2 linked regions of the Kluyveromyces lactis genome follow. The protein of the gene in region 1 purifies or fractionates together with the protein of each later gene. This does not show direct contact. Links are inferred from orthologs where the notes say so. Each region holds a gene or a part of one and is shown in the gene's direction. Other genes may lie near its edges.

The links.
Region 2: the proteins of CDC55 (region 1) and CCT6 purify together in Saccharomyces cerevisiae (affinity purification with mass spectrometry, with the first as the bait; 3 studies listed by BioGRID). This does not show direct contact. The link is inferred for Kluyveromyces lactis from reciprocal best matches to the Saccharomyces cerevisiae genes CDC55 and CCT6.

The regions. Positions count from the first base shown.
Region 1 is NC_006042.1:837,919-849,337, forward strand, and holds CDC55 (protein phosphatase 2A regulatory subunit CDC55), read left to right. Parts: upstream 1-4,672; coding exon 4,673-6,031; downstream 6,032-11,419. Other genes in the region: COX13 (cytochrome c oxidase subunit VIa), read right to left, coding at 6,783-7,166; IME4 (mRNA (N6-adenosine)-methyltransferase), read right to left, coding at 8,253-9,827; histone deacetylase HOS2, read left to right, coding at 10,549-11,419.
Region 2 is NC_006040.1:1,550,829-1,559,174, forward strand, and holds CCT6 (chaperonin-containing T-complex subunit CCT6), read left to right. Parts: upstream 1-5,909; coding exon 5,910-7,544; downstream 7,545-8,346. Other genes in the region: SND1 (Snd1p), read right to left, coding at 72-2,204; CDD1 (cytidine deaminase), read left to right, coding at 3,157-3,600; methionine aminopeptidase MAP1, read left to right, coding at 4,127-5,254; SLY1 (syntaxin-binding protein), read left to right, coding at 7,907-8,346. UniProt on the Saccharomyces cerevisiae protein: Molecular chaperone; assists the folding of proteins upon ATP hydrolysis. Known to play a role, in vitro, in the folding of actin and tubulin. In yeast may play a role in mitotic spindle formation.

The DNA.
Region 1 (11,419 bases):
TCAAATTCTGCACATGCATCTAAATCTGTAACTCCTAAACAATCAGTAGGAGAGCAAGATTCTAAGATAACTACTGATGATATTTCAATGGGCGAAGGATTGGAAACTTCTATGGATAGCCGATCTAATCCTTCTACTCCTAAGTTTGCCCTGAACAATTATTTTCATCTTCCCAAATTAACAAGTAGTATCAGTCTCACTCCTCGAAGAGGATCACCTGTAAACTTCTCTACTCCTACCTCGTATACTCAGAATGGTGCTCAAATCAATCCAAATTATTTTTCTTCCGCCAATATCATGGGTTCGTTATCCACTACGAAGTCGATCACTGACAATTCGCCGATGCTCTCGCCCTTCATTTCCGGTTCTGAAGCAATGCAACTATCTGATAGTAATCAACATCGCAATCAACCTCTTTCACCGCTACTGCTTCCAACCACAGGTAAATCGATTATTCCTTCGATACGAGACTACGATGTGATTAAACCCATCAGTAAGGGCGCCTATGGGAGTGTCTACCTTGCTAAAAAGCGTGTCACTGGAGAGTATTTTGCTATCAAGGTACTCAAGAAATCAGATATGATCGCCAAGAATCAGGTAACGAATGTCAAATCGGAACGCGCAATAATGATGGTTCAGAGTGATAAGCCATATGTTGCTAGATTATATGCAACGTTTCAAAACAAAGAGAATTTATTTTTGGTGATGCAGTACTTGAGCGGAGGAGATATGGCTACTTTAATTAAAATGATGGGTAATTTGCCAGAAAAATGGGCAAAGCAGTATATTTGTGAAGTGATCTCAGGTGTTGATGACATGCATCAAAATGGTATCATTCACCATGATTTGAAACCAGACAATTTGTTGATTGATTCTTTAGGTCATATCAAATTGACAGACTTTGGGTTGTCACGTATGGGTCTTTTGCGTCGTCATAAAGAGAAGAGGCGTAACAGCCAAATTCAAAGTTCAAGAAATCCCAGTTTCACTTGTGATAGCTCTGTGACGCGTAAAAATTCTGTCACAGATTCATTACAATCCGTACCGGGCGCGGCTGAGAATATTTATGACTTAGTCAAAAAGACTAAAGGTCCCAATCATCCTCTAGCGCACATTCACAATCTCCATCAACTGTTACCGACGTACCTTATTTGAAAAGAAATGGTTCCCACGTTTCATTTACAATGGCTGGTCTTTCACGCTCCGGCACGCCTCCCTTATCTGCAACTTTGATGTCAACATCAGATCATCTAAGTATTCCCAACCAAAATCATCACCATCATTCCAGGACAAACTCAAACCTTTCTGAGACCAATGTCCACGATTCGCCTAAGGATTTGTCTTTATTCAATCCCAATGAATCTAAGAATTTTTTTGGAACTCCAGACTATCTCGCGCCAGAAACTATAAAGGGTACTGGCGAAAGTGATACTTGTGATTGGTGGTCCGTTGGGTGCATATTTTTTGAGTTTTTGTTTGGATATCCCCCATTTCATGGTACAACAGTAGATGAAGTCTTCGAAAATATAATTGGTGGTGTCATACGCTGGCCAGAATTCCCTGATGCGGAGACAGAAATGGAATACATATCACCAGATGCAAAAGATTTGGTAATTAAGTTATTGGTGCTTGATCCGAACAAGAGACTTGGTGCCAGTGGCTCTCAGGAGATCAAAGAGCATCCGTACTTCAAAGATGTTGATTGGGACCATGTGTATGACGAGCAACCATCATTTGTACCACGAGTGGAACATCCTGAAGACACTGAGTACTTCGATTTACGTGGAGCGTCTCTCGATGAATTTGCTGCTTCGAATTTCGATGAAGATAATGATTATACGATGCTAGACGCCAAAAATGGTACAAAATCACTCGACTCTCAGTTACATCGGAGACTGTCTGACCAAAGCAGTGGTAGAAACACTCCAAAACAAAGATTAAGTATAAGTTCTGTTCTTGAAATGGTGAACCAAAACTTAGAATCACCAACCGCGAACAATTCACCGATTACAAAACATATACCGCTCGCTATCCCTCCACACATGAGAGACAGACGTAGTAGCAAATTGAACGACTCCTCTCCAGAATTCGGCTCCTTTAACTACAGAAACTTAAATGCTTTAGATAAAGCCAATAAAGATGCAATCACTAGGTTGAAATCGGAACATCTGTCGGAGTACCTCCACCAGAGAACTTCAAGTTCGTCTTTATCTAGCTCTTCTTCGGAAAACTCAGGTAAGCTGAAACAATCAAGTGCTAATAGTGCACAGGGATCAGTCCCAACCTCTATGGGTACACGTAGATCTAACTCTCCTCAAGTACTGAAATGGAATACGAATGCTTCTCCAAGCAGGCGCAACAGTGTCGACACCATGAGCCCTCAACCGTCAGCGACTAAAAGATTTTCGGACATAGGATCATATCTAACTGAAGAATCTGCTCACGGGAGTTCTTCGACGTCATCTCCGTTAGCATCAAAATTCAAGTCTCCACTATCACCACCATCAGTAAACGGCACTCTGGGTTCAATTTCAAAATCACGGAAAGTATCAAGAAATAGTTTCGGTTCTACAACGGAGGATGATGAGAGACTCTCCGCATTATCAAGGGTAAACACCGTCAGAAAGCTCAGACGACGTAGTGGGCGGAAATCTTCTTCCAACTCGAACGGTATTAGATACAAGTTGGATGTCTTACTCTGTGAACCTATTCCAATTCATAGATACAGAGTAGCAGAAGACTTGGAAAGCATTGGGTGCTCTGTTGTTTCCGCTGGAAATGGTGAAGAGTTGGTTCGTCGTGCCACAACAGGCGTAAAGTTTGACCTAATCATCACAGCAATGAAACTTCCAAAATTAGGCGCAATCGATATAGCAAAACTTATAAGACATACCAATAGTGTCAATTGCACGACACCAATAGTAGCCTTAACAGTCTATTATCACGACGCCAAAGAATCTAAGGTGTTTGATGATGTCTTGGAAAAACCTGTAAGCGTGGAACAGTTACGGAAACTTGTGTCCAAATATGCGCTACTTAAGTCACAAAACGAAGAAGACACGCTTCTGAGTGACACAGAATCTTGAACAGCGAATAGACTTCGAACTCACGAATTGTCCTAAATATATATATATATATATATATATATTTATACTAGTCAATGCATACATACATATACACACTCTCTTTTATTGTGAAAGCTATGGATATAGGAACCTTATTGATAATTATAATGAATTTGACGTAGTCCTTCTGCAGCATTCAAAAAAAATAAAAAATAAAATAAAGGGAAAACTCAGATTTAAGGAAAGAATGCACAGAACCACCCCTTAAAGAATGATATACTTACCGAAGGTGTCAGGAAGATACACACACACACACCAGAGAGCTATCAGCACAATCGAGTCCTAAGCGGTTGTAGCAGCAAGTGTGTTACATACAGGAATAATTGATACAAGCTATTATAATTGCCGCTGTTTCTTTGCTTCTTTTTTAATCATCAAGTTCCCTTATTTGACGCTCAGATTCACTACACTTTTGGTCATATAACGTTTAATAAGAGAGCAGCAACAAATTACTAAAAGCAAATATACATCATTCATTTGATAGTCTTTTCTTCACTACATTTGCAAAGCTATAGTTTCCCTTTTAAAACAAACAAGAAGTGTCTGTTTTCAGTTAATGATTCTTACTTTTTATTGGAACTTAGAACACATTATTGATTGCTTCTCTACTGTAAGACAGCTGGATTGATAGTTACAGTGAGAAATTTGCCAATTGGACACACGTATTCCTTTTTATCGTTTTGTTTAACGCTGAAAATCCTTCGCAAAGCTTCCCCAGAGTACCCCCAATTAATCGTACTCTAGATATTCCCAAGTTTAAAATAGTCAAGTATCCTCTGGTAAACCCTTTCCATTTACTAGATTTACGTATTGCAGAGGCAAAAAAAGAAGAATTCTTCGAATCGTTCTAAGCGTCTTTTAGCCTCTCTTTTTTAAATCTACAAAATAACAGCATTATTATTTGCATCGCTATTTGTTAGAGCCAGCTCAACTGTTACATTTCTGACGCTCGTAAAGTGCTTTACTGTACCCCGTCAACCGTTCTCACGTGAAGTGCCTGCAGTTTTCTACCCACAAATCAATCGATTTTTCCTTCTTTTATCAAGAAAATCGTGAAATCGTCGAATTCTGATTTTTTTCTTCCAAAGAAAAGTTTTAGGAAATCGGAAACATTAAAGTTTTCTAGTTAAAAAAGTGTAAAGAAGGAAAAAGGGTTCTTCCTTGAAGTTAAAACACCGTTGACACGGTACCTTACAATCGTCTTTGAGAATTCAAGTGTTCCCAAGCACAGTAATTGTTGGTGAGCTCGTCACAATACACGTTAATAGCAAGTTTTAAGTGCGAATTTTGGGTTTTACTTCTATTCCCCTTTCTCAAAATCAGATTTCCCTACAGTTGAAAGAAAACTGAAAAGAAAAAGATCTGATTGCGTATACTTATCTGTTACTGTAGTCTGGTGGCCAATTCCAGTGTACATCTTTTGTTTCGACTTGGTTTAAACCTTTTGTTTTATTTCTGAAAAGCAGTTTAGCTGGGATCAGTTGTTTTATCTGTATTGGACGCGTGTGTTTTATTAGATTCCTCGATAGGAAGCGTTGGTAAGAGATATGTCACAGCACGGGTTCGATTTCAAGTTCAGTCAATGCTTTGGTGATAAAGCAGATATCGTGGTTACAGAGGCAGACATTATAACGGCGTCGGAGTTCGATCATACAGGTGATTATCTTGCAACCGGTGATAGAGGTGGACGTGTAGTTTTATTTGAAAGGAACAATACAAAGCATTGCGAATACAAGTTTCTAACGGAATTTCAGTCACACGATGCAGAATTCGATTATTTGAAATCTTTAGAGATTGAGGAGAAGATTAATCAGATCAAGTGGTGTCGGCCAACGAACCAATCGCATTTCTTGTTAAGTACAAACGATAAGACGATTAAGTTGTGGAAGATATATGAGAAAAATATCAAATTGGTTAGTGATAACAATCTATCAGAGGGAAATAAAGACTACCACAGACGCTCTGCTGGGAACGGTAGCGCAAGAGCTGTACTGTCTTTGCAGACTTTGAAGTTACCCAAGCTGTCCTTACATGATAGAATTATAGCTGCTGCACCAAAGAAGATTTATAGTAATGCTCACACCTATCACATCAATTCGATATCGTTGAATTCAGATCAGGAAACGTTCATCAGTTCAGATGATTTGAGAATCAACTTATGGAATTTAGATATACCGGACGAATCATTCAATATTGTTGATATTAAACCAGCCAACATGGAGGAACTAACAGAAGTCATTACAAGTGCAGAATTCCATCCTCAACAGTGTAATGCTTTCATGTATTCTTCATCGAAGGGGACCATCAAATTATGCGACATGAGACAGAATGCTCTTTGTGATTACCGAGCTAAGGTGTTCGAAGAATACCTTGACCCAATAAGTCATAATTTTTTCACAGAAATCACTTCATCAATATCTGACGTCAAATTCAGTCCTGATGGTCGTTATATTGCATCTCGTGATTATTTAACCGTTAAGATATGGGATATTAACATGGATAATAAGCCATTGAAAACGATAAATATCCATGAACAACTAGAAGAAAGATTAAATGATACTTATGAAAATGATGCTATATTCGATAAATTCGAAGTTGCTTTCAGTGGTGATAGTTCAAGTGTAATGACAGGATCATACAACAATAACTTTATGATTTATCCCAACGTAGTAAAAACGGGCGATTATCAAGCACCTACTGGAATGGATGAAATTGTATTACAAGCAGATAAGACTGCATTTAAATCAAAGAGGTTGAGTAGTTTGCAACAGCAAAGTGCGAGAAATAAAGAATGGGGTGATGAAATTGATTTCAAAAAATCCATTCTGCATTTCTCTTGGCATCCAAGAGAAAATAGTGTTGCCATTGCAGCCACTAATAATTTGTTCATCTTCTCGGCATTGTAATTTTACTCCTCATCAAGTTGTAATCAATAGTGTTACAGTTTGCCATTTTACATACGTATATCCATATGTACATATAATCTCTAATTTTCTCGTCGAATTAAATAACATATCGAAGGTAAACTAATAGCTCGGGGCATAGCTTCAAGTGTGCTCCGGATATATTCTGGATATATGTTGTATATACGCTGTACCAGCGTATCACTTTTCGTTTTCCCCTTATTTTTTGTTCGGTTAACAATGGGGAACAATGTAAAGTTAAAGTTTTTGGAACGTAAAGTCAGTTTGTATTCATCATTCGTGAAAAAAAAGTAAGTATTGAGTTACTAAAGACGTTTGCCATAACGCTGAGCATATCGAAGTTGATGTACTGCTTGTCACAGATTCAGTACAATAGATATTGATAATGAAGAAACTTATATCTACTTATGATCATTGACACAGTGTGACGTGTTTTATTCTATTTTTCTAGGACTGAATTTACAATAAAGATAAAAAGTGTGTTTATTCTTCTTGAGTTAAATAATAATTATTTGTATGGTGGAAACTCCACTATAAAGTTTATCCATATGTTTGTTGTATTTTGAAGTATAATGCCAGATTAAACGGATGTTTGAATTCTTTTGAAGATAATTTGAGGATATTTGATAAAAGGTGTTTTAAAAGATAAAAAAACCCACAGGCAGGGGCTATCTTGATATTTCATTATGAATGGCCAAAGCCCAACAAGTTGAGATCATTTATCGAACTGTGTTTAATCGTGAGAGACGTGTCTGTTAATGACTGGGTTCCAGAACAAAGTCTTGTCACCGTCACCCCAGAAGAAAGGCTTTTGTCTTAAGTTTTGGAATTCGTAGTCTCTTGGCCATTCTTCATCTGGAACGTGCTTCAAATGTTCACGGTGCTCAGCGTGTTCAGCTTCAACGAAGTAGGTGTTGACAGCGGTCAGAGCAATAGCTGGAGCAGCAACAAATATGGAGATCTTAACCCACAAGTTAGAGGTTTGCTTAGCGTGCTCAGTACTGTGCTTCATGTAGTCCTTGTAAGCTTGGGCAGCAGCCAAATCTGGCTTACCGAAAGCTGGTTCCAAAGCATACTTTGGTAGAGTAGAAGCTCTTCTAATGGCTTGTTTGAACATTTTTGATTATATCTAGGGTCTGGCTTTTCGAAACAGAATATCCTTATGGAATTAATTCACCAAACACAGTTGACGTTAAATAGATATCAAACTCGAAATGAATGTAAAATGAATTGTAAACAGTAAGAAAACTAATCACAAAAATCTCTTTTAAAAAAGTACTTTGACTTACCAATAAAACCTTTTCTATTATGGAAAGAGTAGCTTTAATAACTTGAACTTTCCTAACTATTAAACAATTTTTTTTTTCCTACCTCCAAAATTTTCTAGCATCAACACAATCTCTCTCGCGATATTTCCATATCCCACTCCATATAAAAAACCAAAAATGGCACGACGGAGAAACTAGACAAAGATCATGCTTTTTCGATGTTGTAATTTCGGTATCACATTACACGGTATGAAAATGATTGGTTGCTGGTCACGAGAGACTTAAGTTCTGGTAATGGACACTGAGCATAAAAGGTTCCTATTCCTTGTTTAAATGGTGTTGCTGTCTCGCCGGGACTACAAACCCACAAGTAGCTCATACGATACCGTTCACACTGGCAACAGATTCAGAAGTACTTCCTACTTTATTTTCTGTTTCTGTTGCATCTCTTTATACATATTGACAAACAGTGTAATATTGACGTTCAGGAATTCAAGTCCGGGTAACAATATTTGTTTCACGGCCTGGCGGTAATTGATTTTGGGTTTTTAGCAAACCTGAGCCATCGCATGTCATTCTAGTAGCTGCTGCAGGGACTTGCCGGCTGGGGTTGGTGTAGTGGACAGAAACACCGTTCCTAATATATAGAATGCTAGATTAAGCTGAGAGCTTGTTGCATTGAATTCAAAAAACAAGCGCGTTGGCTAATAGAACGCCCGTAGGATCAGCCATGGTTATGGAAATCAAAAGATTGCCTATTGCTGCTTAAGTGTAGCACGAACTTGTGGGTAATGTAACGTTTGTAATTACAAGGGCGTATGACATAAATTAAAAAAAAGAAGAAAAGTAAGAAGGAACACATACAGACTCCTAATGGATACTGTGTATCGACAAATAAAAGCTAGGACATTTGAAGTAAAGAGAGTATTACATCTTTAGTTTGTCTTTGAATTCTTTGATTTTTCCATGAATCTTTCGTATTTCCTTTTCACATCCACTTCATGGATAGATGAGCCTGTCACTTGATTTCCTATCGTGAACCATCCAGGACGGATGTTATGGTCCCTACCGAAAATTTCAAGTTTACGGGCATGTGTACCGACAAGTCTTTCAATGATTCCATACAATTCGTCCGGCTTTCTACTGGTTTCTCTAGTTGCGCTAATGATCAAGTCAATGTCTATTTTTCTGTTTAGCCATTCCGGATTGCCTTTGACCCCGACGAGTAAATGCTCTTTACTGTGGTTCAACCAATGGCCAGTTCTACCTGTCACAATTGTTCTTCCTAATTGGTTTGTCTTGATCCAAGATATTTCATTTATTACTTCGTAACCCCAATTCTGCAATGATTCTTTCCCTACTTCGATAGCACGGCCGGTTACCCACAAGAACAATAAACCTTCTTCCTGCAAGAGATCAAATGGTAGTTGCAGTAACTCATTATCATTGCAAGTACCGTAGGGCAAATTCATATGAATGTTCCATGCGGGATCTGCAATAACGGCTGAAAATTTACCAAGAATATCGAAGTCAAACTTTCTGACGTCACATTTGATCCATTGTGGAGGAAGAAGCTTCTTAAACGATGAAGAACAGCACTCTCCATGCGTATAGAACGAATACTGCTTGCGTTGCTCTTTTTGTTCTTCAATTTTCTGTTTTTGGAGAGATTCAGGATAATATTGCAGATAGTGGACGTATCTGCAGGTACTTAACTTGTGACAAGTATCCAAATACGAACAATCTCCCAACGAAAGATCCGTCTGTGGCTTTAAATTTGGTATGAAATGAATGTGCGTGTTCGAACATTCGATAATATCCGGACAATCAGCTTCAATCTTCTTTAATTTTTCACCTTGCAAAGACATGATTTTGTTGTTAACAGTATTGATGACGGTGGATAGTAGTGACACATGTTTCGGATCTGAGCATATTGGTATGAAAGGTGATCGCTTAGTGTTTAATTTTGCCTGTTCTTTAGATAACTTAGTGGATCCGAGTTCTAACGAGAGGATTTGATTTAAGTGTCTTAGACACTTAGCATTAGGGGTTACAATTTCACTCTGGTCCAAAATGCCCATCAACTTATTTAATAATATGGGTTCGCTTTCAATTTTTCTTTCTTTAACCTGAACAGAATCTTTATCGATCGCAATCTGCTTGGCTTTATTGCCAGTATGTGATAATGACAATTTAATAGCTTGGTCATAATGAACTTTTTGCAATATTTTCAAGGAGTCCCCATCAACAAATGAAATCTTTTGGCCAAAAATATTCCCGCCACTATCATCTTCAAAATTCATGCAACCACCACATACTTCTGAAATTTTATTCAAATCTTCACAAAACTGGTAATACGTCTCACCACATTCGTTATTCTTCCATAGGAAATTTTGCATGAACATGGAATAAATGACATAAATGTCGTGTAAGCTACCATTGATCGGGGATGCAGTGATGGACGCATAGTTGTCCAACATAAAATCAACTAACCCCCAATTCAAAGACATAATACCAGTTTCACTCCTTTCACTGCTCGGACAATTTCTTTCGAGACGCAGCTATATTCAGTTTCGTTTCACCTTGTTACTCCACTCAATAAAAAAACAACCGCCGACGTCAATATCTCTGGCTCCAGACAAGATATAACAAATCCGTATATTTTTTTCGATCACCACAACTTTCACAAACTTTCTGTGCCTACAATGTCATGAAACTATATATAAATTGCCGGCTTTTCCTCTCAGTTCCATCCACGTTTAACAATGGTTCTGTCTTAAAAAGATGGTGTATTTCGTGATGAAGCTGGGATTTTTTATTTTCAAATCCGAGTTTGATCTAGGTAGGAATTCGTTGTGAACAGGGGAATACACAGGCTCCAAACTGGCAGGAAAGTGAAGGGCTTTACCAGTGTATTATACGTGAATCTGCAACGATGCTGATCTCTCTTTAGAATTGTGGGGTACATCCTTCATCTTGATACGTTGTTATCACGTGATTGGTTCATGTGATGTACGGAGTTTATGGTTCTGATCCACTTGGAATAAAAAAACATGGAATTTGAAAATACAGTAATAACAGAACAACACATAAATAAAGTACGGAAAGGTCGAATAGACAATCGACCGAGCCAATACCCAACTCTTTGCAGATTGTAGCTACCAAGTATCAATTCTGGCTGAGTGGCAGTTATTCATTACGGGTAAGTGGTAGCGGAATCCTTTTCATAAGATGTCATCGGATACACTTAAATTTGATGAGAAAACGGAAGCTGAGAAGCCATTGTTTGATTGTGATTTTGGGACTTCCTATAGTCCCAGAGTCTCGTACCACTTCAATTCGAAGGTATCACAATATCATTACGGTGTCAAGCATCCAATGAAACCTTTTAGGCTTATGCTTACCGACCATTTGGTTTCGGCATACGGGTTACACAAAGTGATGGACTTATATGAGACGAGGTCAGCAACAAAGGATGAGTTAACAAAATTTCATTCTGAGGACTATGTCAATTTCTTAGCGAAGGTAACACCAGATACATTGAATAAACTTCCTCGAGGGTCACTCGAGAAATTCAACATTGGTGACGATTGTCCTATCTTCCAAGGAATGTTTGATTATGCTGCCTTATATGCTGGGGCATCGTTAGATGCTTCTAGAAAGCTACTTAATGGTCAGAGTGAAATAGCTATCAATTGGTCTGGTGGTCTACATCATGCGAAAAAGAACAATCCATCTGGTTTCTGTTACGTTAACGATATCGTGTTAGCCATAGTAAATCTACTGCGGTATCACCCGAGAGTGTTATACATCGATATAGATTTGCACCATGGTGACGGTGTACAGGAAGCGTTTTACACTACTGACCGTGTGTTCACTGTTTCATTCCATAAGTATAACGGCGAATTCTTTCCAGGTACAGGTGATTTGGATGAGATAGGTTGCTCCAGAGGTAAGCATTTTGCATTGAACGTTCCGTTACAAGATGGGATCGAAGACGACTCATACATTAATTTATTCAAAAGCATTATTGATCCCGTAATAACATCTTTTCGGCCCAGTGTAATTATTCAGCAATGTGGTGCCGACTCCCTTGGCCACG
Region 2 (8,346 bases), on another chromosome or scaffold:
AAAGAGCTTCAAATAGAAAAATTGATCATCTCTAAGAAATGGGGGTGGATGCCTTACTACTGTATCAGCCATTATCTTGCATTACCCCCTAATATCCAACCACCAGAACTGTTTATATCGTCATCACCGTACAAATCTAGAGTGAACTTAGGTTTGTTGTAAGTAGGCTTTTTGGAACCTGGTTCTTCATTACTTCTGTCTTGCTGCGTGTGGTCCATTTCTATTGTAGAAACACTTTCCGACCCTGACCTGTTCTGTGTTGAATCTTCGTAAATTTGTATATTTAATTTATTCTGCGAGGTTGAGTTGAGCTCTTTGAGAGGGTGAAGTTTGCCTGATATAAGGGTATTCGATGATTCGACATCAGAAGTTCCTGCAATTGTTTCATCCTCGTGAGATGAAATACAGCCAGACATTAATAAATCTTCTTCGTCTGCTTCCAAAGATGGTATTTTTTTGTTGGGATGGAAACTCAATGCTAATCCGAACTTATCAGAAAGTAGCTCATGATTCAGAAGAATCGGTTTCTTTCTTACTTCTTCGAATGATTTGTTGATCAGATCTTTACCGAACAAGGAACTGCTTGTATTGTTACTGGAGTTATTTTGCCCTTGGGCTTCAATTTTCGGAGCTAGTAGCTTGGAAAAGGTTCCAGGCAATAAACTTAAATTGTTCAACGAGGAGTTTGAGCTGTTGTTACTTGTGGATGGGGATGATATTCTAGAATAGAACACAGGTGGAATTAACCCATGTGAGATGTTACTTGCTGAAGATGAATTTCCAATCTTTCTTCTTTGTGGTGCTGTAATATTATCGGACCCATCACCATCGAAGTGGCCATCATGAACATAGATATTAGTGTATCTATCGCTACGTAGAGAGTTTTGCGTTGGCGAACAAATTTCATCCTCCATATTTTCTAGACTTGGGGGCTCATCTTCTCTCGGTTCCGTAAAGGGGGCTTCCAAAGTAGAGTCTATTAAACTGATGGATCTAAATCTTCTGGTGGCTGAACCCTGCGATGGATCCTTGTTCTGTGTTTCGTTATCAGAAGCATAAGATGAAAGCTTACTTGGAGCATAAAAACTCAATCCGTCGTCATCTTCATCATCATCATCATCATCATCATCATCATCATCATCATCATCATCATCATCATCATCATCATCATCATCATCATTACCGTCATTATCGTCAGCCTCGTCATCTGAACTAGCCTGATTTCCAGAGAAAGGATTATTAGTTTCCGAACTCTGGAATTTTGTTGCTCTATTAGATTTTCTGTTGATGGATAATGATCGTATTCGTACAGATTTGTCCTTATTAGAGGTAAGTATACTATTCTGGAAGCTTAATATCGAAGATGAGTTTCTGGTCAATGGAGTATCATCTTCACTGTCAGTTGGGGAAAAGGTTTCTGATGACGTCAAAGATTTTTTGTTCTTCAAAGAGGTGTTATTTAAGGCCTCTAATGACTGTTCAGATAAGTATGTCGTCAATGGCTTGTCAGACAAAATTGTTAACAACGCCTTAACTCCCGTATTATTCGTAACAACAATGACACAATCACAGTTCATCGGCGACACTTTATGAGAAAATTTGTCGTTTAACCGGCGGTAATATTCCTTAAACGGGGTGGTTGATTTGGATATCATATTATAATTTTCTATTTGATCAAAGTCAACGCAACAAGAGTGCAACATTTCTTTCGAAAGGAAAGTGGTAAACCATTTCAAAGAGGTTGGAGTGACTTTTATTTTATAATTGATATGACATCTTTCGCCAAGAGTTTCTTTTAGTTCCGTCCAAACAGTCTCTATCAAAAACTTGACTGTCTCTACGTATCTCAATGAGCCACTAGAAGAAATTTCCAAATGGAAATCAAAATCGCCTGCGAGTTGTCTTGAAAGTGTCCAAAGTTCATCATTTTCACCTATTATACTCTTCAAAATTTTATCTCTCAGCCTATGCAACTTAAACTTTTTGTTTATTCGAGAGAGCCTGTTATCCTTAAGCTCATCATTATAATAATCAATCGTTGGGATATCGATGTAAAGATATACGTTAAAGTTGCTCATGATCGGCGTCAACCGATCACAATATGAGATGAGATACAAAGAATCGACATTCTGTACTCGAACCTTTGAAGGTTCATGAACCTGCTGGTTCCATAACCGTGATGTTATATTAGTGGAGGAATCCATTTATTATAGTAATCCGTTGGAGATGTATTTGCATAAAATCAAGGATGCCTCAATAATCGGATTATGAATGGGTGTAGTTGAATCATAAGAAGAGAAAGACGCAGACTTACAGGATCTGATTTGCAGCTCAGAACCAGTAGAATAAAAGCAATAGTGATATGTAACAAATTCTCAAACTAGGAAACCTAATCTGCTTATTAATTTTGACCTTTAACCAGCGATAATTGAAGTTGCACCAGTAAATGAGTCAAATCAAACCAAACAAAAAAGTATACTAATTCGAAGACAACGTGAATAAGAAAACAAGGAAACCACAAGGTCCTTCAGCAAAGTTAGCAGCGATAAAGGTACTCTCCTTTGCGTTAAAATAGGAAAAAAAAAATAATGCAGTGGTGTCAAGTAAGGCGAAATCAGCTTCTCGTTCTCCTCTTTCCACAACTGCTGTTTTATGTTCAAGCTTTCACCTTTTCTCGTTCCTGACTTATACCTAGTTTCAGTTTTTTTTTTCTTTCTTCTTTCTTTCTTCTTCCGCTTTAGTTTGAGCGCTGACACTTCAGGTCACGTGACGAGAATTTTTGGACCCTCGTACATGTTTAGCATGACACAAAACGTGATAGGACTTAAGGAAGAGCATCGTACTATACCCCTGCGAGCATCTAATATGGCGGGAAAACTGTATCAGTAGACAAACGGGAACTGTTAGCTTTACTATATTTACATACATATAGTTCATATGTGCTTTGCGATCAACGGTAATTTTTTGTAAGTAAAAGCAGCCAAGACGAAATCAAGCAGATAGTGACATATTTCATTATATAAAATCTCGATATGATAACGATGTATTTCTCACACAAGAAGATATCAGCCATCGTTGTATAAAGAAACCAAGAGGCGAGCGTATAATACACGCTGGACCCAGTTCGCTACTGAATACGCATCATTGCAGTATAAAATGGAGATCAAGAGCAAACTGGACGGTATTGAACCTACACAGGTAGATAGAGCCATTTTAGAGAGTCAAAAAGCAAAAAGTGGTTCCTATAGTCCATATTCAAAATTTAGGGTCGGATGTTGCATACTGACAAAAGATGGTACTTATATCACAGGAAGCAATGTGGAGAATGCTACGTATGGAGCCACCATATGTGCAGAAAGAGCTGCTATCGTGAAAGCTGTCACAAGCTCCCACAGAGCAGATTGGGTTTGTGTCGCTATCAACAGCGATATGAGAGATAATTACATTCCGCCATGTGGAATCTGTCGGCAAACGATCAGAGAGTTTGGAAAAGAAGATCTGCCAATAATAATGACAAACTGCGACACCTCTGTCAAAAAAATTATGACCCTCAATGAACTATTGCCAGAAAGCTTCGGCCCAGATCACTTTCATAGGTGAGCTAAGATTCGACTCTTTTTTGTGCAAGATTTGAACTTTTCCATAGTAAGAAACGAAATCAAAAATCAAGAAAGTTCTATATAGTAATTATTCATTAGCGTTTTGAGAGAAAGTTAAGAAAACATGCCTTTGGAAAACACCTTCTCATAAGCTAGCTACTTAGGATCAGAAGTAACCGCCAGTTAATCAAAATTTTCTAAGCACTATTCTCTCAATCGCCCTAAACCGAGGTTGTTCCTAAGATATTTAGAAATGTGTCATAGATAATGCGGAGTCTTCGCACTGTAGAATTAAAAGAAAAGTATGACATTTAAACTCATCTGACTTTTCAAATAAAATTTTTTGTTTCGACCTTTAATAAAGAACATGAGAACGAGATGCGATGAGAGAAGCTCAGATACAGCTCTTTCTACTCCTCTCTCTCACTTATTTATACCAAACGTATTCCAAGTGATATAGAAGGTGTTTCTGAACTGCACTTACTGACATAGCAGCTGTAAATCTTGGAAGACACTAAGAGGAAAAAATGCAGGAAAAAATCGCTAATGTCCGTTGTTCTAGTCTACAATGTGGTAAAGTTACAGATTCGATGTTAAAATGCCCGATTTGCTTGAAGCAAGGTATTGAAGAGGTCTTTTGTGGAGAATCTTGTTTCAAAGACGGGTACAAACAGCATAAGGCTTTACATTATGGTACAGATGGTTCTGGTGAGGTGTATGATCCGTTTCCAAAATTCAAGTATACTGGCAAGCTGAAAGCTCAATACCCTCTGTCGCCAAAAAGACAGGTCCCAGATGAGATCGAGAAACCAGATTGGGCAGAAAATGGGCTACCCATCATCGAACAAAGAAATGATAGAACAAACAAGATTCCTGTCTACAATAAGGAGCAAATTAAGAGGATCAGAAAAGCTTGTGCTCTAGGTAGAGAAGTGCTAGATGTTGCGGCCGCCGCAGTTAGACCAGGTATCACTACGGATGAAATTGATGAGATAGTGCATAACGAGACTATCAAGAGGGGAGCATACCCATCTCCTCTCAACTACTATAATTTCCCTAAATCCGTCTGTACTTCTGTGAACGAGATTATCTGTCATGGTGTTCCTGACAAATATGTTCTAAAAGAGGGAGATATTGTCAATTTAGATGTCTCATTGTATTACCAAGGCATGCATGCAGATTTAAACGAAACTTACTACGTTGGTGAGACTATCGCCAAGGATGTCATAAATACCGTTGAAACTGCCCGTGAATGTTTGAAACTCGCCATCAAGATGTGTAAACCAGGCGTAACTTTTCAATCCTTGGGAGACTGCATTGAAAAGCACTCCAAATCCAACAAATGCTCTGTTGTTAGGACTTACTGTGGTCATGGTGTCGGTGAGTTTTTCCACTGTGCCCCCAGCATTCCACATTATGCTAACAACAGAACGCCCGGTGTCATGAAACCTGGAATGGTCTTCACTATAGAACCTATGATTAACGAAGGTGTATGGCAAGATATCACCTGGCCTGACGATTGGACTTCTTCAACAAAGGATGGTAAAGTTAGTGCTCAGTTTGAGCAAACCCTTTTGGTCACCGAGAATGGTGTTGAAGTCTTGACGGCAAGGAACAAGAAGTCTCCAGGCGGCCCAAGAAATAGGATAAAATAGACCCAGTGAAATGACAATAGTTAAAAAATGAATATCAATAGAGAAAGTTACTGTTTACCTCGTTTCGTATAGGAAACAATCCATAAAACAGCCATCATCGTCGTCATAACGGACATCATTTCGGCATAGTCTTTCATGTGAATAGATTCAATACATATCATCATATAAATCAATTTACAGAAGACCAAAATATTTAGAGAATTCTCATTGAAAACCACTATTAGTATTTATTATACTGAAGATGTGCGGTCCTACTAAAGTATAATCTTCATCATCTTTGCATAAATATGAGGATCACGACAGCATGGATTGTTGCTTTGCTTCAATAACCGGGTAACCATTAGCTTTCGCCACTTCCAAAGAAAAAAAATTAATCGAAAACAGTGATCTAAGTTTTCTGATGGAGAAAGTAAAGCTTTTAATTATGGCTAACGTTCGGTGTTGAAGAAGAATAACATTCAAAAGAGTGAAAGATACTGTTGCATTTTCGTCCACAACGTTGATTCTAATAGAACCGAAATCAATCTATACTCTCTAATATTTAGTTGTGATATTCATTGCAGTCAATTGCTTGCATCTTATTATCCAGATCAAAAGTCATAATTTGACAATACCAATTACGTGCAGTGCATAATAGAGAGAAAGCAAGATAATTATGTCAGTTCAGTTGTTAAATCCAAAGGCCGAGTCCCTAAGAAGAGATGCTGCTTTAAAAGTCAACGTCACTTCAGCGGAGGGTCTTCAATCCGTTTTGGAAACTAACCTAGGACCTAAGGGTACTTTGAAAATGTTGGTCGATGGTGCCGGTAATATCAAGTTGACCAAAGATGGTAAAGTCCTATTGACTGAAATGCAAATACAGTCTCCGACTGCTGTCATGATTGCTCGTGCAGCCACTGCCCAAGATGAAATTACTGGGGACGGTACTACAACCGTTGTCTGCTTGGTGGGAGAACTGATGAAACAAGCTTATAGATATATTCAAGAAGGTGTCCATCCAAGAACAATTACTGACGGGTTTGAGATTGCAAGAAAGGAAACCTTAAGTTTTTTGGATACCTTCAAAATCGAAAAGAGCGCTGAGGAGGATTTGGATCGTGAATTTTTATTGCAGGTTGCCAGAAGTTCCTTATGTACTAAAGTCAACCCAGAACTCACTGAAGTTTTAACACCAATCGTCACTGATGCTGTTTTGGCTGTTCAAGATCCTAACAACAGAAATCTAGATTTACACATGATTGAAATAATGCAAATGCAACATCTATCTCCACAGGATACCACTTTTGTTAAAGGATTAATTTTGGATCATGGAGGAAGACATCCTGATATGCCAACCAGAGTCGAAAATGCACATGTTTTGATTCTAAATGTTTCTTTGGAATATGAGAAGACGGAAGTCAACTCTGGTTTCTTTTACAGCTCTGCTGACCAACGAGACAAGTTGGCTGCTAGTGAAAGAAAATTTGTTGATGAGAAATTAAAAAAAATCATCGACTTGAAGAATGAAGTATGTGGTATGGATTCTAAAGAGGGTTTTGTTATCATAAACCAAAAAGGTATCGACCCAATGTCATTAGATGTTCTTGCTAAACACAACATTCTTGCTCTAAGAAGAGCCAAGAGACGTAATATGGAAAGACTACAACTCGTCACTGGGGGTGAAGCTCAAAATTCCGTTGATGATCTTTCGCCTAAAATTTTAGGTTATTCCGGATTGGTTTACCAGGAAACTATCGGCGAGGAGAAATTTACTTACGTCACCGAAAACAGAGATCCTAAGTCTTGTACCATTTTGATTAAAGGTTCTACTCACCACGCTTTGACCCAAACCAAAGATGCAGTAAGAGATGGTTTAAGAGCTGTTGCAAATGTCATCAAAGACAGTGCTGTCGTTCCTGGCGCTGGGGCATTCTTCATTTCTGCTTCCCAGCACTTGAAAAGGGCGAATATGAACAAGCTAGGCGCCAAAGGTAAAGCAAAAACAGGTGTACAAGCCTTTTCAGACGCACTTTTGTCTATTCCTAAGACATTAATAAAGAATTCCGGATATGATGCCCTTGATGTACTTGCCCAATGCCAAGACGAGTTGGAAGAAGATGAGACAAGAATAGTGGGTGTTGATCTAAATATTGGCGACTCTTGTGATCCAACTATAGAAGGTGTTTGGGACTCTTATCGTGTCCTCAGAAATGCAGTAACTGGTGCCGCAGGTATAGCCTCTAACTTGTTGCTATGCGACGAACTACTCAGAGCCGGTAGATCTACATTGAAGGAAGGTCCACCACAATAATGAAGCTGGTACAATTAAAAAATATCACTGTCTTTAACGTAGGTTCCAAAATCAAATAGAATTATGTATACTAAATGGAAATAAATACGAAGTACAAGACTCAAGTTTGGCCGATGTATATGTAATATGCGATCTCTTCACGAGTGCTATAGATCCAAATCTACGTGTTGGCCAAATACCGTTTCCATCACCGAAAACGAAATACTAATATACTTCAAAAAATGATTAAACATCAAAACTGGAAGCACCTTTATAATAAACAGACACACCAAAAGTACAGAAAGTACGGACGAGAGTGAAGTCATTGACTGCAAACCATTGAACAGCATACCTCATCGGGATCACATATATACCAGAGTAATATGCTGAATTCAGAATTGTCCTTAAGAGACAGACAGATTCTGTCTATTGAAAAGATGCTACTGTTCAATTCAGATAAAGGAACGGAAGCAGCAACAAGCAATCTTGATGAACAAGAGATCGTTTGGAAAGTACTGATCATGGATGCTAGGAGCACCGCTATAATATCATCTGTTATGAGAGTCAATGACTTGTTAAAATCCAATGTTACAGTTCACGCCCTTATCACACAACAGAGATCCCCTTTACCTGATGTTCCAGCAGTGTATTTCGTGGAACCAACAGAAGCGAACATCGATGCGATTGTCCAGGACTTGAAAGAAGATAAGTATTCAGAAACATACATCAATTTCACAACTACATTGAAAAGAGATCTTTTAGAAACCTTTGCAAGCAAGGCTTCTGCTACTGGCAAGTCTGACAGAATAAAACAAGTGTACGA